Struthio camelus: one gene and its partners. The protein of the gene in region 1 purifies or fractionates together with the protein of each later gene. This does not show direct contact. Links are inferred from orthologs where the notes say so. Each region holds a gene or a part of one and is shown in the gene's direction. Other genes may lie near its edges.

Region 1 (7,562 bases):
ATCTTAGCTGAAACTTGATGTCTGCTGTTTAAAGTTTCCCCTTGCTTTTAGTCAAGCCAGCCTCCTGGGTTCGCATTCATAAGGGGAAACGTTTAACCCTTTCACTTGCCCAGAGACGACAGAGGTGGGGAAGCTGCGTCGGGAAAGGTGAACGGAGAAAGGATGACAAAATTCCCCCACCTGCTCCATACATACCCATGAGCATCTCACAAACCACAAAGATAAAGCAGGCACAGGGAGCGAAAAGAGAAGCATTAACATCCCCCTGTTGCACAGGGGGGAACGGAGGCACAGAGAGACTCCGTGACTTGTCCGGAGTTACTCAGGAAAGAGACCGTGATGCAGTGGGGAATTAAGCTCCATTCTCATGAAGTCCACACAGTGGACTGTCTGCAAGAGCATCCTCCCTCTTTTAAAGAGGAACCTGGCATTTATGAGAAAAATCATTTGTTTATCCTGAGAGGGAAGGTCAACATTATCAGACAGCTTCAAATCCCTTTCAGGAAACAAAAAACAAACAAGAGGCAGCAAAAATCTGGAGGAAAAGCTTAATGCTGACATTCAAAAAGTAATGTATAGACACGTACCCCATCACCCCCACAGAGATGTGCCACAGATCCCAGTTAAAAGAAAGATGCTCTGGAAGGAGAGATTAGAGTCACCTTCACCTCCACACAGTCTCTTTTAAGGATGGACATAAACAAGAAGCCCATGAGCAAAGAGATGCATCATTAGGATGAAAATACGTGGAGGGTGTGAACCCTTGAGCACCACAGCGTTAGCTAGCTCGCGTGAGGTTAACCGCTAACTGTGGCAGATAGGAGTAGACTTCCCCTCAGGGCTGTTTATTGCATAATTGTCCAGCGTGGGCATTTCCCACTTTGGTGTCAAGTGTCCCTGCTCCTGGCCACGGGGCGGGGGGACAGGAGCCGGGAGGAGAGCCAAGGCTCTGCTCAAACTCTTGGACTCATTTTATGTTCCACTTGCAATAGAGCTGCGGAAGCAGGGCGAAACTCGGCATCACAAAACTGCGGTGGGTCCCCCCCGGCTTCTCCATGCACTTCGTTTACGCCCGCCGCTGCTCTTGTGGTGCAATCTCCCCGGCTTCTGAACGGTTCCTGCTTCAGACGGAGCTGCGGAGACGGGGAGGCCTGCGGCGATAAGGCCTGGGGGAGTGACAGGGGGCCTGTCTGTGAGTGATAAAAACACCCCTCTCCCGCCTGAGACCGGTGCCTCGTCTGCAAATGGGCCTTAAATGGAAATGCTCTGCGTGCCAGCTCTGTGCATGGCTGCAGCCAAGCAGTGGAAATTCTTGCTTGGCGGGTGAATGACGTTACCGGCCCTGGGAGTCCCACCCGGCGCTGCAGCATCTGGCTGGGATGGGGCTGGGGAGTGGGAGAAGGCTCACATCACTCAACTCGCTCATTAGCTTAAATACCCACGGCACAGCAGAAAGCCGTCTTTGCTCAGAGCTGTGGAAAAGCTGTGGTTTGTCAGCACAGATAACTCCATTAGTCCAATTGTATAAACAGAGAGAGTGAGACAGATGGACAAAGAACTGCAGCTTCGCAACAAGTGTTTGGCAGAACGGGATTAGGCCTTGGGGTCTCGGTGCTGAAGGTTGTTCTCACCCTGCTGAGGTGCACCTGAGGGCACAGTGTACATTATTGGGCAAACTGGGAAGCAGCAGTTCTAAAATATGTTCTCACTTCTGCATCCCCTTGCCCCATGTGCAGCCTCCTGCCCATATGGATTTATGCGATCCCATAAATGCCCCATAAATGGCAAGTCCCATAAATGGCGTCAGGTTGGTTTTTTTGGAGAGTAGACAGACAGGGTCCTTCACAGTCCCGCTGGATACAGCCAGGGTGCCGTATCGCACAAAGGCCAGGCATGGCCATCTGAAGTTGCAAATGCAGTAAGGCTGTTAAATAGCATTTATTCTGACCTAACTGAAAAATGAGTTGTTCTCTAAGGCCCTGAATCACTTGAGCTGAAGTCAGTGGTATCTAGAACACAGAACACATGGTTTTGGTTAAACAAAAGGCCCTGCATACTTTTGGGGCCTGTCATATAACTACCCACCCAGGAAACAACCAGGAATTCCTGATCTACTTTAAATCATACTTCAGCTTAATTATTTTCTGTGTAGACAGGCCCTAACTTCTGCAAGGAGAAAACTAGGTTTCCATGGCATGGCACAGCTGGTTGCAGAAACGCTCACTCTCTCAAGAGTTCAGTGCCCAAAGGGGAGATGCTTCCCAAATATCCGTGGCCCGAGCGTGGACACTGCTGGTCTGCTTGGATCCAAGGAGCCTTCCTTGCAGGCTGCCTCCCTGCAAAGCTCTGGAGATGCTGAAGATGCCACTGAACTGGTCAGCAGCCCTGTTTTCATCCAAATTTTCAGTGCACTGAGCCACTTCCATGAAGAGCAGCTTTTCCTGCGGAGCGGCCAACCTCCTCTGAGCCTTGTCACCCAGTTGCAGGCTCTCACCCACAGTTGCTCTTCCTGGGCCTGGACTTGAAAAAGGATCAGTCACTCAAGAGTTACTGCTGGGGCAACTACATGCCCAGCCTCCGGTGAGTCACATCCCCACATGCATCCCGGCTAGGGCTGTAACAGCATTTCTCAGGGAGGGAGCATTTTCCAAAGCCCTGGGCTATTGAATGCAGCTAACACAAACCGAGCCCTAAGTTCAAGTCTGGTACGGAGTCTAGGAAAAGATTAACAGGTCACAGCTCCTCCATCTCTCCATCTCGGCTTTGTTTCGGTGGAGTAGTTTGTCCCACTCGCTATCCAAATGAGCTCACTGCAGAAGGGCTAGCGGTGTAATGGCACAAAGTCCAAAGGTTTTCCTTTCTTATTTTTTTTTTCTTTGGGCTCAAGCCTGCAGAAAACCGCGTGGAATTTCCCCACTTTCCAGCTCAGAGGCAAAAGTTAGGGAGGAGGGGTTTTGAAGGAGGGGTGAGGGTTTTTGCTGAGCCGCACCACAGCCCACAGGGCGGCTTTGCACCTCGTGCCCGGCCACCGGCCCCTCCAGGAGCCTTTTGCGTCTTCCTGTAAACTCCGTGCTCCTCGCTGGGATTTCTTGGAAGCAGGAGGGGATATTTATGTAACTCCATTTTCCCCGTAAAACATATATTCTTGCTCACTTGAGGTTTAGACGCTGCTATGATGGGGGGGGGGAACAAGCTGAGAAAGCAAAAGGTGTCAATGAAAAGCCCCTCGCAGAAGCATTCGTGAGGGCGCTTGTCTGATCTGGAGGCTTGAAAACCAGCCGTAACTATTTTCCCCGACACACCCCCCCCCCCCACCCATCCACCCACCAACACGAAAGCGCTAAAAAATGAAAGTTCCGCGGCAAGCCGGGCGGGTTCAGTTTTCGGCCCGGCCAGTGAAGCTGTTAACAAAAGCCGTGCTGAAACCTCCGTGCGGCTTCCGAGCGGCGGCGGCGGCGGCGGCGGGGCCAAGCGTGCGCGGGATGGAGGGGGGGGCAGCACGGGCCAGCCAGCCGGCCGGCCCCCTTCCTCCTCCTCCTCCTCCTCCCGGCCCGGCCCACATCGCGTATTTAAGCCGGCCGCCGGCCGCGTTGCGGGAGAGTGAGCGCACCGGGGGCGACCCGGAGCCGACCCGGAGCTCAGCCGAGCCGCCCCGACCCGGAGCCGGCCCCGCTCCCGCGCACGATGCGCGGCGCGCCCCGACGGCGCTGCCGCCTCCTCCGCCTCCTCCTCTTCCTCCTCCTGCTGCTGCCGCCGCCGGTGTGTGGGGTCCGGGGGGGGGGGGGGGCGCCGGGCGCCGCCGCGGCATGTCCGGGCTTGCTGCGCCGTCGGGGCCCGGCAAGGGGTTGGCGGCTCCCCCTTCACGGGAGTTACTGGGGGGGGGCGCAGAGGGTGGCTGGGGGGGGGCAGCGGGCGGAGGGGGGTCGTAGGGGCTGGAGGGGGAGCAGTGGGCGGAGGGGGGGTCGTAGGGGCTAAGGGAGGGGGCTCCCGGGGGCAGCGGGGGGGGCTCACCTGTACGGGGGGGCAGGGGCTGGGGGGGGCTCACCTGTATGGGGGGGGCTCCCAGGGGCCGTGTGGGGGACTCTTGGGGGGTTATGGGGGGGCTCACCTGTACGGGGGGAGGCTCCCGGGGGGTTATGGGGGGGCTCACCTGTACGGGGGGAGGCTCCCGGGGGGTTATGGGGGGGCTCACCTGTACGGGGGGAGGCTCCCAGGGGCTGTGGGGGGGGCTCACCTGTTTGAGGGGGAGGCTCCTAGGGGGTTATGGGGGGCTCACCTGTATGGGGGGAGGAGGCTCCTAGGGGGTTATGGGGGGCTCCTAGGGGCTGTGGGGGGGGCTCACCTGTATGGGGGGGAGGCTCCAAGAGGCTATGGGGAGGCTCCTGGGGGTTATGGGGAGCAGGGGCCATGGGGGGCTCACCTCTATGAGGAGGGGGCTCCCCTGGTGTGTGGGCTATGGGAAAGGCATGGGGGTTTCCCTGGCCCAGGGGCTATGGGGGCTCCCCTGGAGAGCTTGGGGGGGGGCTGCAGGGGGCTCCGCAGGAGGCTCGTAGGGGAGCAGGGACACGTGGGGCAGGGCGGAGGCGGGAGCGCGTTCCCAGCCCGCCGGGGCGCGGGGAATGGGCACGTGCGCCCGCGCGTGGGGCGGCCGGAGGACTGGAGGGGATTTCCACTTCCTCGCTTCCAACGGCATTGTTTGCCGTTCCGGGTCGGGATCTTGCGGCGACACCGAGTCCGTGCGGACGTTCGCGCCACGTGAACGCAGCGGGACGTTCGGAAGTGTCCGGGCTCTGCTGCGGGCCCTTCTGTGCCGTCTCGTGTGGGGATATGTGATTTTAGACTTCCCCAACGGCAGTCTGACTCCTTAGCGTTGGTGACTTTTAGGATAGAAACTCCCACCCGCCCATACTGTATTTCTTGGGTTGGAGGTGGCTATAGCTCGGAGAGGTGCCCAAAGTCTCGTGTCGCCTGCAGTCAGTGGGAACCCTGTCCCGAGGATCCCGGGACTGGCCCCGATTCCTGCCGTGGCGCAGGAGCGGCTCTGGGACGCGTGGTTGCTGTTTGCCTGCTGGAATTGCTGCCGCTGAAATCGGCGCTGCCTGTAACAGGTTTTTAAGTGCCTCATCTTCTCCGGTCCCTTCCCGTGCTGTTTCTGTGAGTTGCACAGGTTAGGTGATCCCTTCTTGAGTCTCCCTGCTCTTTGCTTAGACTTGCCTGTATAGGCAATAGCCTTACCGACCCCATCACCTACAGGCCTGCTCTTACTGGACTTGTTTTCTTTTATAAAAAATAAAAATAAAAAGGGAGGGAGAACTGATCAGGACTGATGTTGGCCCACGTGATAATCATACGATATTATGGCTGCAAGTTGCTTCCTCTGCACACCATGGCTTGTTGCATCATGCCTGGACACGGGCCACAGGCTCGTGAAGAAGAAATCCTCCGAATTTCTGTATTTGCGGGAGCTCGAATTCCATCCACATAAGGTCTGCAGGGAAACCCCAAGTTCAGCAAACTTATTCCCTTGGAGCAGAGGCGTGTCAGTTGTCTGTGAAGTCTCTCTCTCACTCCTTGTTCCTTAACACTGTTGGTGCTCTGGGATTAAGAGCCTCACTCCCTACATCAAGGGTTGACATGGTTATTAATACTGTCTAGATGCTTTGTGGTGGTCAGGAGTTCAGTTTGTGGGCTATCTGCTGCCATAATGGTTTGATTCCTTCCTTGGGATCACTTCAGGAGGAAACCAGAAATCGGTGGTAGAGGAGAGAAGGTTCAAAGATCGGCACTTCCCAAAAAGTCTTCTCCAGGTCTGATCATCCAGACCGAATAGAAAGAGGGGTTTAAATTCATGGTCGATGAGGATATTGGAAATTACTATGACTGATCATTCTTCAGCTTTGGGGCAGCATTACTTTCTTTGGATGTTTGCTACGGGTGAAAAGTACTCTTGAATACCATTGCTTGCGTTGAACTTGACCTCCCTATGCAACTTGCTTTAAAACTGGCTTTTGCAGTGATAAAATAGCTGCCTGTGCTGGAATTGATCAGGCAAGTCTTCTGATGCTGGGACAAGCTGAAGTGTGGCTGTATTTCTTTCTCCCTAGGCTTTTTTTTAAAACCTCTTCTGTGATCTAGGCAGGGTCCTTCCCTCTGTTTTTAAGTTAAAGATTTTTTTGGATTGTTTTGCTGTTTTTTGGTGAGTTCCTCCGTCTCCTGGCAAGTTAGCTGTGCAATTAAAGGCTGAAGGTGAGGCCACCCGGCCCAAGGAAGATGGAGGTTTGCCCCTGGATTGCCACAGTGACTTGCCAGCAGGGAGGGCCAGGTCTAGAGGTTATCATAATCCTAGGGTGAAGTTAGTGCTGGTTGCAAGTGTCCTGTTAGCACCTTGCAGTGGGTGTTGGACTGGGTTTCTCCAGGGCCAAGGTATGTTGTGGTGGTGTCTGGCCTCTGGTTATCAGTATTTTGGAGCAGGCAAGGGTAAGAGCTGGCGGAAAGCATCATAGGACACACGCTTGGAGCAGAAGGGTCCAGGCTCTGCTATGGGCATGCAGCGACTCTCTGAACCCCTTTTTGCCCGTTTCCTGGACTGTAAAACTGAGGCCACCTTTTGCCTGTGGCTCCTAGGCTGGCTTATCTCAGTGCTTTGCAAAACTGATAGGTTAGATTCCTACCTGCAAAGGGCTCTGTCAGGACGATGTACTTGAACTGCATTTGCTCTTGAAGGTGGTGTGGGCTGATAACCTTATCATGCACTTGTGCAAGCTCAGGGAGAGCACTGAAATCCTGTGCCTGAGGGGCCCTCTGAAACAACAGATGTTGTTGCTGTGGTTGCCTTCACGGCTTGGCAGGAAAACTTTCTTGCCCATGAGGGCAGTCAGGCAGTGGGACAGGTTGCCCAGGGAGGTTGTGCAGTCTCTGTTCTCGGGGGCTTTCAAGGCCAGAATGGGTAAAGCCCTGAGAACTGCAGAGGGTAAAACAACTTGTGACTGGAAGGTAAAAGCTGAGTTGTCTCCTAAGTTGGATGCAAAAGGAGTTTATAATAACTTTATAATAAACTCTGGGAGGCAGCCAGCAGGAGATCTGCACCTGTACTTTGCAAAACCCCAAATGCTATAGAGCTGGTAGTTGTGTTCGTGCTCTTTCTTACGGTTGGGATATTTGTCTGCATGAGGCCTGAGTTTCTTTGCTTTTTTTCTGCGCTGTCTGGATTAGCAGCGTGCCAGCTCTAGGATCCCAGTCCTGCGCTGAGGTCCAGCTTCCTCTTCTTGCTTCCTGCCTTTAACCGTGTAGCTACCCAGAGCTCTTTAAGCAGCTGTGACACCCCAGGGGAGGTGGGAAGTTCAAGTTCCCGATGAACTGTGTTATCTAAAGCTCGGGTAACACTAATGCAGTCTGAAGGAGGTGGAGGAACCGTTGCAGGGCTCTGAGTTGGATTACTCCAAGCCAGGGTCTGGAGATGGCCATATGCCCAGGCTGGCCATGGCTGGGGGGTTTGTGCCTCTCTGGCTCCCCATGTTGCGGCATGCGGGGCGAGAGGGACCATCTCTGGCCAGTGCTCCTGG
Region 2 (6,872 bases), on another chromosome or scaffold:
TGAAGTTAGCCACCTGCTTGCAGACAAATATACTTTGCAACACGCAAATTATCAAAAGGTCATGCTGAAGAGAAGAACAGCCAGGGGATAAATATCATCCATAATTCATATATTATTTTTCAAAAAAGAAATCCTATTATGTTAATAGATATTTTAAAGCCAAAAAATAACTATAAAGTAACCACCACTGTGACAGCCACACCCCAATGTCAAGGCAAGACTTCAGAAGATCTTCTGAACTTAGCTACAATGAAAAATTGCATCTATCACAAGGGTGGTTCCCAAGTCCCTTTGCGCAGCTTGTCCCACACTCAGGTTCCCCAAGAGGATTCGGCACTTTTCCGCATGCTCCTGTGCAGCAGTGCTGGTTGCACACTGCTGCAGTTTCTTCCACTTCAGCCCTCTGTGGTTTCAGTGAAATGCAATAGAAGTTCTGTTGTACTGTTGGGCAAAACTAGCTAAAACCATGGCTTCTCCTTGCAAAATCATCTGTACAGCTGTCAGACAGTAGTGGGATCAAGCAGACCAGCTAGTGCTTTAGCTTCAGGTTAATACATAGATTACGGAAAGATTATGAACAAATATCCGCTTAGGGTTTTCCCAGTGATCCTCTACTTCTACAGTGCTCTGGGTAGGATGCTGAGCCCAGAATTAACGTTTCAGCATTGACTCATCTCTGGAACTGGAAACTTCCTGTGTGAGGACACACTCATCTCTTGAGGTCTCAGCTGTGTCTTTAGCTGTGGACAAACACAGTGCCATCACGCTCATTCCCACCACAGTGTAGGTCCGCACAGAGCTTGCAGTTCATGGGAAACAGGGAGGTGGCAAAACTGTAAACAAAACATAAACAAAAATCAGACTTTTTAACATTTAAAAATGTGAACAAAAATCTAGCAATTAACTGGAGTGGGACTTTATGGGTGGAAGGAAAGGAGTGGAGAACTTAAAAGCTCTGTAGCAAAACTGTGATGCAGTCTTCAAACACCAGGAAAATATCTCCGTATTAAGTCACTTTCCCATTAGGGCATAAGCTTTTTGTGATTTTATTGGTTACGATAAATAAAACAGGTAAGTTTTCCAGGTAGCCTTCGTCTAGTGCTGCGGAGTTTCAATACTGTTTGATTTAGGAACACCTACATCACCTTCTGGTGATGCAACAGAATCTGAAAATTTCACAAATGCAGTTGGCAACAGCAGTTTTTATCCAACTGACAATAAAAACAGCTACATGCAAACAAAGTGCAATTGGAATTCTACGTGCTTATATTTTTTCTATTTTGATAAGATGGTTGAGACTTTTGGTACAAAGTAAATGAGAGTTTGGTCAAAATTAGTGAAAGTATCAGTTAAAGGGAAAAAAAAGAAGTAATGGGGTTATTTTATCTTAGTTGATACTAAAATTGAAAACTGCTCACAGAAATGCATTATTGTGAAAAGCATTAGAACTGTAATGAATGACCTTATCTCCAGTTCAGGATATTCTTCCGTTCTTCTTTATCAGAATTAAAGAGATTTCTCTGTGACTTCAGATTGCATTTTTGGACCAATTTATTTTCCTTATTCATTTCAAGAAGGAATGTCATAACTGGCAACACTGACCTCTGACCACGAACAAACAAATGTTTGTCTTTTTTCCTAGTACTTGTTGGTAAATCACTGAATGACTGAGATGTTTTTAACCACACAATTCTGTGTAAATGTGGCCATCTTACTTTCTCTCTTCAGCCACATACCTAATGCAAAGCCCAGAGAAGAGAAGCAAAAGAGCATTAAAAGGTTTCTGTAATGTTCGGGATGGCAACAGAAGAAAAAAACTGCACGACCTACCCATAGTTATGAGAGATGCCACATTTGCTTTCCTCAGTTGCCTTGGGACAATTAGAGTTCACGAACGTCCCAGTTTCTATGGACGATAGGCTTAGTAACACTTTCCTTAAGATATCTTGCAGCATGGATGGCCATGAAATGTGTGTTCAAACTACCTTGTCTGTCAGTTCAGCATAGCTGTCTTGAGCCTTTTAATTACAGTAAGCCTCATGAGGCCTTGCCTTGAATGCTATCAGAGCATTGGCCAGCTGGTCTGACTCTACACCGGTTGATCCAGAATCCGTTGAAAACAAAGGCATGCCCTAGACACATGCCAATTCCACTGCCGTAGGTTTTTTTAGAGTGGAAATGACTGCACTCAGCATTATGTGCAGTGGAAACAAGCCATTTGTTTGGTTTGTACTGCAAGGTGTAGAAAACCGCCTTGAGACTCAGGGAGGAAACTGCTTATGTTATCTCCAAGGCTGTTCTGCCTCTCCAAAACTGTATCGCCCGGCCCGTGCCAAGTGTTTCCCATTTATCTTTCAAAAGAGATGCCTTTCAGAAAATTGAAAGTTACATGTCACCTGCCCCTTCCAGATAAATGTGCTGGCTAGCAGAAGGCATAAATCAGACTATGCCTTCGTTTAAAAAAGGCAAGTATATGGATAAATGGGTTGTCTGGGAATTCCAGTAATGCATTGATGACTGACACGGGGAAACAAAGGACTAGTTCTACATTTGGAAAAGGCCAGAGCTCCAGAATATGCCAGCATTACATACCAGTGCACGTTGCGAACCTAAAAGGCTTCATAAGTACTAAATGGAGTATGGTTCTTTTTTGTTAATGTTTTGTTGGCTTTAAGTGGTGGTACAAACAGCCTTGAATGCCCTCCATGGTTGAGGAACCCTATCCATGAAATCCACTGTGGGGCCTCGCATGAAATTAAAACTCTCCATCACCACTGCGCTTCTTCCAGATCTACAAGAATCTAGGGCCTCAATTTCCATCAGGAAACTGAAACAGATTTCTAGACTGTCTTCTCTCATCACTCTCCTTTGAAAGTCAAGGGCCTGAGCAAGCTTGCCATTCAGCTTTAGAAAGGCTTCTTTCTTTATGTGCAAATTGTGGGCTGCTCTCGCCGGCCCACATGAATCTGCTGCTGCTTCAGTGGTATCTGGTGGCACTGATCTGTGAACACCACAGCATCTACAGGGCTTTGTGAAGAGCATAGCAGTTCCCCAGAATGGAAAAGGTCATTACAAAGCAGATAGTCATTCATCATTTCCAATTGTTTCACTGGAGAAACAGTTAAGAATGACTTTTATGTAAAGAAGCTGTAACGAGCCATTGTTTTTATATTAGAACACTTTTCCTAATGAAAGTAATGGAACAGGTCGGAAGTTATGGAATCTCTTTTACCGGTAGAATTACGACAAACTACATGAAATTTGTCAAAGATGGTCTAGACACCTCTGCAGAGCAAGAGGATGGACTAGATGGTTTACAGAGGTCCTTTTAGGTTACACCTTTCCTCCACCTGCTTCCGCAGGACTGTTACCTACTATGAGTACTCTCTTAGCGAGCAGAAGCTCCTGCCTCCATCTTCCTGAACAAGAAACTGCCTCGTAGGCCCTAAAACCACACCAAAGAGCTGCAGTCCCGCCATGCACCAACTGCAGGCCCTCCCGCAACGGCTGTCAGCCGCGGTAACTCCGACAGGTTATCTGGTAGCCGTGTGCCCAGACGCGGGCAGTACAGTACTTCGGGTCCGTGCTTCTCCCCGGGGCGCCGGCTGCGCGGCGAGGGCGGAGCGGGGCGCGGGTGGCACACGCGCTTTCCCAGCCCGGGCGGGCTCATTCCGCACGCTCCCGGGCCAGCGGGCGCGCGGCGGCTTCGCGGGCGGCGGCGGCGGCGGCCCGGCGGGCGGCGCGCCCTCCGCTTCCGAGCAGGCGCAGCCCGGCCGGGCTGGGCTGGGCGAGCGCCGAGGCGGCGGCAGCGGCAGGCCAAGCGGCCCAAACCTCCTGCCGGCGGCAGCGCGGGGCCGGCCGGCCGCAGGGGGCGGGAAGGCGCGCACGCCGCCGCGCACAGGCGCTGCCCGCCGCCGCGCCCCTCGGCCCGCTGGCGGAAGGCGGCGGCGCGGCGAGCGGCCGCGCAGGGCGCGGGGAGGTAAGGCCGCCCCGCGGGGCGGGAGGGAGCCCCGGCCGGCCCGGCTCGGCCCGGCTCGGCCCGGCTCGGCCCGGGGGAACCGGCCGCCGAAACCGGAAGTCCCGCGCGGGCTCCCAGTTGCAGAGGCGGCGGCGGGGGAGGGAGTGGGGGCTGCTGCCGCGGGCCGCGGCCACCTGCTGCCCGCGGTGGGGAGAGCGGCCCCGCGGGGCCCCCGCCCGGCCGCCCGCCCGCTCGCTGCGGCGGCCGCGTCGAGCAGAGGGTTTTCGCCGTCGGGGCCCGCGGGGCAGAGCGGAGCCCGGGGAAGCGGGCGGCGGGGAAAGCCCCGGGGAAGCGGTGCGTGCGAGGCGGGGAGGCCTGAGCGCGGCCGCCTTACAGGAAGCTGCGAGGAGGAGAAGGAGGAGGAGATGTCAAGCTGGCCGACAAGGAACTAGGCTCGAGAAGGCTCCCGTTAGGGTTTCTCAGAATTGCATCTGCTGCTGAAGCCGCACGTTTATTTCGTGCTCGCCTCGCAGGACGTTTGCTCTATGCTTCAGTGCGCTTCGGCTGCGGTTTGGGGCGCTTAGGCTGAAGCTGCGTCTGAGGCAGAGGCCTGGCCTCGGGGCTGGGCGCATCGTTTCCCCCTGACTGTTGGTGCTGCGGCGTTCGGCACCTTGCGGGACTGGGCCCTGGTTCGTGGTGGTTCCCTGAACTGCGCTGGGCTATAGCCACCTCGTTCCGGACAGGCTCTTTAAGGCTTTTTGAGCTAAGAAGGGATTTGCTAAAGCTGTGTTTTCACACTAGGAAATAACTTGTTAAACCAGAGCCTCCCTGGTAGTAAGGTCCAGAGGTGGCATTTTGCTCAAGTGTTTCTCTGCATCAGTGTGATGGGATCTGGGTGATGGGAAATTAGTTTGAGAGCATGTTTCTGGTAGAAAGCTGTTTGGTAGCAGCTAGTGCCTTCCTCTGACAGGGTCATACCAGTGTAAGATGGTACTCTACTGAAATGGCTTACTCTAATTCGCATATAAGAACATGCATTTTTATGAGCGCTTCTATCCTAAATTGTAACTAATTATTACAAAATATGACTGGTGCAAACCCCTGCACAATCCTTGTTCTTTCCTCTTTCTGCCTTCCTCTGCCGTATTCTGGTTCTACCAAAGAATCTCAGCCCCTTTTAATTGGCATCTTTGTCTCCCTTGTCTTGGTCCGTCCTTGTATTCCTGTAGAATCCCAGCTGTGGCTTGCTGTTGAGATGACACAAATATTTTCTTTGCTGTTTCCAAAAGAAAAGTTCATCCCTGAGCCAACAAGTGCAGCAGTGGAAAAAAAATCCTAGCAGAAGGGAAAGGTTTAGACTGAATGGGTCATCAAGGTTACAGTGATATAGCTGTGATGCACTGACATCTTTTGAAACGTCTTCACCAAGTGTGCAGCATTTTACGCGTGTTAGTGCTACAGGTTTTGTTTCCTGTTTGTTATTCTCTTCTCTTCATAATTGATACCTTGAAGTGACCAAGAGTTTTGGTGCCTGCAAACTTGTCCACTTTTTCTGATAATATCTTGTATTAGAACATCCTGTATTAACTCTCAAGAAACTTTGCATTACTAGTGTAACTAGACCACAAGTGCAGCCATTATCACTATATAATCTTTCTTCATATTACTGTGCTAATACCCTTAGCAGTCCCCCTTAATTGTGCAGGCTACCTGAGATCTGTATCAGATCAGTAACAATTTGTTAAAATGAAGCAAATTACTTTTGAATGACGATCAGACCCAAATGACCTCTAATGATCAGGTCACAATTTTGGGAGTTTCTGGGCCCTTTGGGGGCCAGTGGAGGGAACATAACCCATGATGTTAAAAAGAAAAGCCACAAACCCACGTTACACTGTTATCCTTCTCTAAAGAACACCCAAACGTATTACTGGGCAAATCTTCCCCTCTTCTAGCAGCCAGTATTCCAAATTTTTGTAGTACATGTTGACACTTCTTAAAAGTAAACCAACTTAATAAAGCTGTTCAGAACATCGTGTTAAAAAATAATTTGCTTAGTGATCAACCAAGTGTACAGATGAAGGGGACCCTATAGAACACAAACTAAACGCTGTAAGTATGCTTAGCTTGTGTGAGGTTAGGCTGAACTAACTTCAAAATTCCTGTTCACTCAGTATACTCATTATATAATATCACGGATATATAATGCTTATCCTGAAGTATCATAGCTACTAAGGATAGATTTGAAAAATCATGTATCGTAATAAAAAGCAGTAAACTTGGACTGGACTTGAGCCTTGGAGCTCTCCTCCTTGATTTCTCTATTATCTGACATTCCCAAGTAATATCAGTGAAGTAATATACCAAAGTAAGCAGTCTTTCCTTAAAAACCGTGCCAGAAATTGCTTCCCTGTGATGTCCATCCTAAAAAAACCCTTTGGGCTTGAAGCAAATCTTTGGTTCAAAGTTCTTAGAGTACTTTCTACTTTAAAAAAGAAAAGTTAGTAACATCCTAATACTAGAACATGCCCAATGGAGGGTTTTTTGCCCCAGTGTGAGAAAATCTCCTATGTTGAATGTTATCCAGTTCATTTCAGCGTTCATGGTGACTAATTATGGCTTGATGGGAAAATGCATTAGCAATTTATATAGGAAGAGTGTTGCTGTAGTTTGGGGCAGGGCTGCTTTTCATTAAGTTATATAGTAATGACTGTCAGGTAACCCCAAGCTATCGATAGCATTAATGTAACTTTAGGGATTTAGCTTTCTGAAATATATATCTAGTGTATTTGCATGATCATAAGGACAGAATATGTGGTTCTGTCCTGAGTAATTACTAGCTAGATGCATAATTACCATTATTATGCAAAAATTACTATAGATATGTGACTTTGAACTAATACTTGAAAGAGAG
Region 3 (7,405 bases), on another chromosome or scaffold:
TGGGTTAAGTTTTACATATTTCCTCAAATTACCTGCTTCTAGAGTGCCTTAAGAATGCCAACAGTGAAAAAAGTAGTAAAAGGGGGCCTGTTGGCAGCATACATGCTCTCCAGAGCTATAAAGTAGAACTAGCCAAACATCATATTGTAAATCTTTATGCCATTAGTTACATAAGCTAAGGAGGCTACCATATCTCAGTTTTCAATCCAGACATAGCATATCTGTGTGAACTGAAGAGCAAAAATCAGACAAGAGAAAAGTAAACTTCAAATACCACTAGACAATTACGTTGTATACTTCCAGTGTAGAAGAACTGTAGAGTACCTTGAAGTTGTAATTGCAGCTTTACAAGAACAACTGCAGCTCTTAAAAAATAAAAATAAAAAAAAAAAAGGAGGGTAAAATGCCTCCCTCTCTCTCTATATATAGAGAGAGAGAGTGCACAGTCTTTCAGTGAGGCTATAGCAGAGTTTTATTTTTGGAGGCAATAAAACTACTGAACAGTACAGCTGCACTCCTACAGAATTCTACATCTCTGCATGACGTTGCCTAAGGCATTGTTCATTGGACAAACAGCTGTTTTACTAAATTGGTTTTCTTGCTTAATTCTTTCTCAAGTATCCCTATGCTATTGCATCATTCCATGAAAAACAAATCACGAACATACTGTGTAAGGTTTGTTGCAACAAAACATTTCTACATTATCCCTTAGGCAGTCCTGCCCTGAATATGCATTTGCAAAGGCTAGTATTCACTGCTTGTTCTAACCAGGTCTAAGATTAAAAGGATTAAGAAAGCTCAACTTTCGGTGGTGGTTCAGAAGCACATGATTAGCAGAGCTGGCATTACAAGTGGTATCGATGAAACTTGCACTTCAGGTATGTGCTGCTCACTTCTGCCCTTTATAGTTATAATATGGTGTCCCTGACTTGTGTATGTGTGCACGCTGATTTGACTGGTTACCTGCCCCCCAACCCTATTGCAACTTTTCCAGAAGCATAAACCTTAACATAACCTTGATCAATAGTTGCTGTTTCATTTAGTTTCCAGTTGGAAACCTTGTTTTCATGTTCTTCTATATGCATGCTGTTTTATTTTGTTTTTTTTTAAAATGCTTCAGAGTCTGCAGTAAAGTTGCCACAGACTCCTATAGAATTAGTCTTTTAAAATGATACAAGCCTGCAGCTTCATTGGTATGACTAAATATAGTTCTATTTTTTTTAAACAGAATTTTGTCATTTACGCTACCTGAAGAGAGATTCACACATTCTTTTCAAACTTAGCAGAAAAACACATATGAGAAAAACTTACTGTACTCCTATTTTCAGCATACATAATATTGGTATGTTATTCACTTTGCTTGGACCAAAAGATGTAAGATATGCATACAGAAACGTAGCTTGATTGATATATAACCTAATGCATTCCTCAATTTTTTAAAAAACAGTTAGCTTTGTTTATCCAGATTCTGGTTTGTTGGCAATTACAGTACATGAAGAAAGTTAAGAATCAGTCTGTTGAAATCTTACACATCTTCACTCATTTCAGCCAGAGTTTCCAGAAAATTTGCACACAAGCAAGTCACCTCAATTTTATACAGTTCTTCCATATATTCATGTTTAAATGCTGCTGTGTATAGGGAAGATCATAGGAATCAGCCTTATGAACATTCCACACCGTAGTAGTATATTGGGCATATTCGCTGTTAGTTAAAACTGGACTGGTTTAGGTGAAACTCATTAATTTATAGATTAAGAAGGTGTCATTCAGTGATTTAATTACCAGAAAGTATTTCAGCCACTGCCATCAATGGCTGCCTAAATTTATGGTGAACTTGCCTTGGCAGTATTAGGGAATATCAAAACGTGTCTTCATTCATTCCCTAAAACAGATGTAGCATGTAATACTCCTTATACACACAATACTCTTATATAAAAGATTTTTATTTCACATTTACTAAAATAATACTAATCCTTCCTGGTAATGGAGTATTTCCTATGTAATAGGATAATAAGTACCAAACCTGTCTTCACTGTAACCATAGCAATGAATGTCCTAAAATTAAAGCAGGCTTCCTACCAGCACACATAAGATTATTTTACAGAGCAAAGAACAGGGTCACAAACAGCAGTGGCCACCTCCAGGTGAAGAACATATGATGGTAATGGCACAATCAGGAAGCTCATTCTGTAAGTAAGTTTTGAAAAACACTGATGATGGTCATAGGATTTTCACCTGTGCTTCACAAAGCTATCTGCATCATCTCAAGAGATATTCGTGATTTATTATTTTTGCTGACAGCAACTGTAAAATTTTACATCATTCAGTATAAAATTCTAAATTTGTATCATCCTCCAGACTAGTCTTCTATGTTTGTTTCCTATACCTTTTCTGTCCTCAGTTGTAGGCCAACAAAAAAACCAAACAACACTTCTCCTACTGAATTAGCTCCTTTTTTTAAAATAAGGAACTATGACATGTAATGAATGATATTAGCAACACCACTTATATAAACAGATGTAACGCACTCACCTTGATCATACAAAATCTGACTTTTAGATACATGGAATTTTTTTTTTGTTTTACTTAACTAGGACAATCTACAAAATAGCCCCAACCTGTTATGAAAGTAGATGGAGAGAAATCCAATTCGAGGCAGAGATATAAATCCAAAGCTCTCTAAATCACAGCAAAATAGGACCATCTCTTCTCAATCCTATCTAATCTTACTAGAACGCTCTCTGCTCTGCACTCATACTGATTTGCAGTTCTAGGACATGAGAACCAATCGGAGAAGACAATGTAGTATTTCAACTTAGAAACTTGGACACCCCCCCTTCAAAAAACTTGTACACAGCTCATAAATATTGCCTATAAATATGCAAAAGCAGCTTCATAAGCATATAAGAATTAAGAAAGTGAAGGAAAAAGTGGAAAAAGTAAACAAAATAGTAAGTCAATCTCTTTGGCAATGGATGTGGTGAATGTTAATTATGAATGTGAATGTAGGTGAATGTGACTATTTGTATGGTCATTTTTGCAAAAAGCAGGTTCTTCTTTTCTTTCATAAGGCTGCAGCCATACTATCTCATTATATATATATAACCTCTTCTGTTAGCCTTATGCATTTGTACGGAATAGGTCCAAGGAGAGATTGTGAGAAGAGATTCAGTGGGCAGCCCTTTTCATTCTCAATCAGCTATGGCTACAGGCTTGGCAGCAGGGACACTGCAATACCCTTACTACCCTGTAATGACAGATACTGAGGCAAGAGCCTAACCATACCAGGTCAGTAAGAATCGAGGTACTTTTTCAGAGCACAAAACAGTCAATTGGAATCTGACCAAATTCTAGTTCAGGCAAAATTACTTTCTGCCTCCCTGAGTTTTTCCTCTGCTGTTCCAAGGAGTACGTTATTTTTTTTTTTTTAAACAACTGAGCATTATTCCAGAGAAAACCATGCTTCAACTGCTCCATTTTAGCAGCACATACAACGGTTTGCTGGGTTGTAAATACTTCAAAGTCCTTTTTTCTTGAAGATTTTCTATCTATTGCATCCAAATTCACCATACATGGTGGATGAGGCTTCTGTCTAGTTCAGTTGACAAAAACAGGCCAGAATTTTAGATTTAGAGAGAGCAGCTCCAGCTGTGACACTAATGCCTCACACTAAGTCACTTGATGGGACTTGCCAGGTATACCATGGGAACAGCAGCACAGGGCAGAAGTATTGAAGATTACACAACAAACGGAAGCTCAACACTCTCACGTGCCTGTACAATCATTATCCTCGCCGTGAATGAGTTCAGAGGGGTACAACAAGAGAGGAACGCAGGAAAGATTTGTTGCTGCGTAACCCCCCACCAAAACGCCCCGCCATACGTGCCCTGCGCTCACCAGTCTGCATTCGCTCAACGGAAGAGCCTGCTGCACTGCACAACTGCTGGATCTGCCACTCAGCGGCTCCTGAGGTGGGCCTTCGTCGTCTGAAAACCGGCTTAGGAAGCCTGCAGCCTACATGCACGTAGATTATGTACGCATGTCTGTGTGTACTGCTACCTATCAATGCGATTCCCAGCCTTCCCTTTCTGGGCCTCCAAGCTGAAGCCCCCAAGACACACAAAAACGCGCCCATCTCACTGATAGGACAGCACCGTCCTCACCCCCTCCTTCTCTGCCCTCTCAGAAGGGCCCAGCGGCCCCACGCTGCCCTCTCGGCCCCCTTTTCCCGCCCTTTCTCCCCCCCAGGGCCCCGCTCCGCACAGCCCTGAGGCGGGCGCGCCGCCATTTTGTGCGCAAACGGCCCCCTCAGGTGGCGCTGTGGATCGCGCGCGGGTGGACGCCTCGCTCCCGCCGCCGCCCCGGCCGCCATTTTGTGGGGGTTGGTCCGCACAGTGGGAGCGGAGCTGGGCGGTTCCTCTCCTGAGGCGGGTTAAAGAGCAGCTGCTGGCTGCGCGACCGAAAAGTAGGCGGCTGATAACCATTCCCTCGACCCCGGGTACCTAATGGCTGGAGTCGCGATAAAGTCGTAAGGGCTGGCGAGGGCTGGCGAGTGTGGCTCCGCAGCTGTGCAGTGAGGGGAAGGTGGCAATATTCAGTCCCCTCTTCCCTCGGCGAGCGGAGCTCTCTGCCTGGGGCAGGGACTGTCTATGCGTGGGGGCGGCTTTGGTCGCAGCAGCGTTAAGAGGAGCAGAAAACGCTCCGGATGTCTCATCCTGAAACTCGCATTAGAAAGAGAAAAAGGGGCCATGCTGAGCGCCCAGGGTCTTGTGCCTCCCCCCGCCCGTGCTCGAAACCACGCCTGGTGCGGGGGAGCCCGTTGCGAGGCCGGTACCGCCCTCTCCTTCTCCCTGCGGCACCGCTTCCTGCTCCGGACCTGGCCCCGCCGCTGTAGACGAGACCTCCCGGGTGCGTTATGCGTCCCCTCCTCCTTCCCCCAGGCAGTCACCCCCCCCCGCGCCCTCAGGACAGGCGCCCCCAACGCGCCCTGCTGCGGGATCGGGCCCTCCTCCCGCTGCGGCCCGCTCCGGCGGAGGGCGGGCCGGGCCGGGCCTGGGCGGGTGCGGCGAGCCGGGGCGCTCCGCGCCAGCGGGGCCTGAGCCCGTCCTTGCTCGTGAGGAGAAACGAAACCCGGCGCTGCCCTTCGGGTGAAACCTTTTCGACCTGCAGCGCGGAGTTTCCTTTCGCTTCATTTTTCAAGTGTGAGTTAAAGTGACGTAGTTAAAATTGGGCGGAAAGCTGTATAAACTCCCTAGGGTAAAGCCAGTTTATTTCAATTTTTGATCAGGACCGGAGTGTTAAACTAGCTCACCTTTAAATGGAAATGAGTGTAGTCACTACTGGTTTACACCAGAGCAAATCATTAGGCCTCATACAATGATGAGGAACGTGGAAGTTACCGTGGGCTTTCCCTGAATGCCTCGTAGCAGATCCTCTTTCTTTACAGGGGTATTTGAAACTTGTATAACACGCCCTGACATATGCAACAGTTTGAAAGACGTCAGATGATACATGCTCAAAATGAGCGCTGACCACCTCTGCATCTTAAAGCAGGGGGAGGGGCCACAACATACAGGTAGTACCTCCTTGTAGCAAGGTAACCCGCTCTCTTTGCCTGGCGTAGGGGCTCCTACTTGGGCTCGTCCTGTGAAACAAAGAGGGCTTTCCAAACAAGAACTACACTTACTGATGATATATCCCGTTTTTGCTGCTGTAGAGATGTTTACTACAGTTGTGAAACGTTCAAGAAACAAATGCTGTCTCAACTGACAGACTGTAATTGGAGATGACTTTTAAAGTGTGAAAGGTTTCCCTGCTTCTCTTGAAAGACTTCTGCTTCTTAATTTGAGGCCTGATAGATGACTTTGTCATAATTAGTACAGGACACTTTTTTGCCTTGCTAATTGAACTGATGTTAGTATGTTGTGCAGCATTTGTTTTGCAAAAAGTAAAATTGCTTGAGCCTTGTACATACACGGGGGGAGTTAACAGAGCCTTACAAGTCTTTGTGAAGTTCTAGGATATTGTTATTTCCCGCACCTTAACAAAAAAAAAAAAAAAAAAGAATCCTGGTCCTTGATTTTGGATGTATTCTGCCTGGATTCTGGGCAGTGAGAAAGTTCAGAAAATAGGAGTATAATTCATTTTATTACTCTCATAGAAGCCAATTAACATACTGATATTTTCTTAGCTCTTTGCCTAGCGTGGAAGGGAAATGACTATTGTGGTCTGAGAAATATACTTGCTAATTTTCTCAGGTATTTTATCTTAATAAATCCTTACTTACAGTGTAATATCCAGGGTCAAAAGTCAGTGCAGACTTAGATAAGCATGCCCTCGACAAGGATGGTTTCCCATTGCAGTAGGTGAGAAATTCATTAAGGAATGTCCATTCAGACTTAAAATCTTCCACTTCCTTAAGGAAAGTTAAAAGCAGTAACTCGTATTTGAGTGTGCTTTTGTAGTAATCCTCTTGAGACATGTTTTCTCTCAATCCTCTTTTGGGGTGACAAGGTGACTGATGAGTCACTCTAGAATCAGTCATTTTTTCAAAGACCTTATGACTATTTTCCACAAGAGCGCTTGCCCTGTGAAAATTTGGTGTGATTGTGAACTGAAATAGCTAGACTTACAGAAAACTGCCTCCTCCCCTGTCCTTCTCCCTCGAGGTGCCTGGGGCTTTCCTGGTTCTTTGATTACAGGAACAAAAAAGTAGTTCTTTGTTCCATGTGTAGGCTTGGCCCCTTCACTCACTCTGCCCCTGATATTACTGAGGCAGCCTTGCAATATCCTCAGATAACAGCGGTGTAGGTTGTTGTGTTACAGTTGTGCTATTTGCAATGATTTTAGATTTTATTTAAATGGAAATAAGTGTAGTGCTTCAGGCACAGCTGATTTTTTTAAGGTACGGAGCACCGTCTCTTTTAAATATCTTCCTGCTCTGTAACTTCTGTGCCGAAATCTTTATGCAGTGGAAGCAACACTGAACGGAACAGAAGAGGAAAGTCTTTAAGTATTTTCTTGCAGCAATATTGGCAAATTACATGCACACATGAACACATAAACTACAGGAACAGCTTTCTCTGCTGACTGTGAACTTGTTTCTTTTCTCCTCAAAAGGTGTGCTGTTTTCCTCTCCCTCCATTTTGTAAAGAATTTACGTTCAGAAGCTCTTCTTGCTGCAGAGCCCAGGTAATCTAAAAATTGAGGGCTAGACTGCTGGGTTATGCATTCTGTCATTGCTTTTCTCTTTTTCTTTAGTTGTCCATGTTTCAGCTATAACTGCACCAATGATGTTTGCAAAAGCTATCGTTATCAGATGGAAGGGTGAAACAAGATGCCCTTCACCTCTCATGGAGAAGTGGGTCTGGCTAAAACGCGTGCAGATGGAATGCATCAGGTTTGC

The links.
Region 2: the proteins of tumor necrosis factor receptor superfamily member 10A-like (region 1) and RIPK1 purify together in Homo sapiens (affinity purification with western blotting, with the first as the bait; 3 studies listed by BioGRID). This does not show direct contact. The link is inferred for Struthio camelus from reciprocal best matches to the Homo sapiens genes TNFRSF10B and RIPK1.
Region 3: the proteins of tumor necrosis factor receptor superfamily member 10A-like (region 1) and CFLAR purify together in Homo sapiens (affinity purification with western blotting, with the first as the bait; 5 studies listed by BioGRID). This does not show direct contact. The link is inferred for Struthio camelus from reciprocal best matches to the Homo sapiens genes TNFRSF10B and CFLAR.

The regions. Positions count from the first base shown.
Region 1 is NC_090968.1:5,189,667-5,197,228, forward strand, and holds the start of tumor necrosis factor receptor superfamily member 10A-like, read left to right. Parts: upstream 1-4,559; 5' UTR 4,560-7,562. UniProt on the Homo sapiens protein: Receptor for the cytotoxic ligand TNFSF10/TRAIL. The adapter molecule FADD recruits caspase-8 to the activated receptor.
Region 2 is NC_090943.1:104,667,375-104,674,246, reverse strand, and holds the start of RIPK1 (receptor-interacting serine/threonine-protein kinase 1), read left to right. Parts: upstream 1-3,868; 5' UTR 3,869-3,979; intron 3,980-6,085; exon of another isoform or gene 6,086-6,872. UniProt on the Homo sapiens protein: Serine-threonine kinase which is a key regulator of TNF-mediated apoptosis, necroptosis and inflammatory pathways.
Region 3 is NC_090947.1:10,403,045-10,410,449, reverse strand, and holds the start of CFLAR (CASP8 and FADD-like apoptosis regulator), read left to right. Parts: upstream 1-4,401; 5' UTR 4,402-4,908; intron 4,909-5,072; exon of another isoform or gene 5,073-5,201; intron 5,202-6,429; exon of another isoform or gene 6,430-6,904; intron 6,905-7,119; 5' UTR 7,120-7,191; intron 7,192-7,212; exon of another isoform or gene 7,213-7,399; intron 7,400-7,405. UniProt on the Homo sapiens protein: Apoptosis regulator protein which may function as a crucial link between cell survival and cell death pathways in mammalian cells. Acts as an inhibitor of TNFRSF6 mediated apoptosis.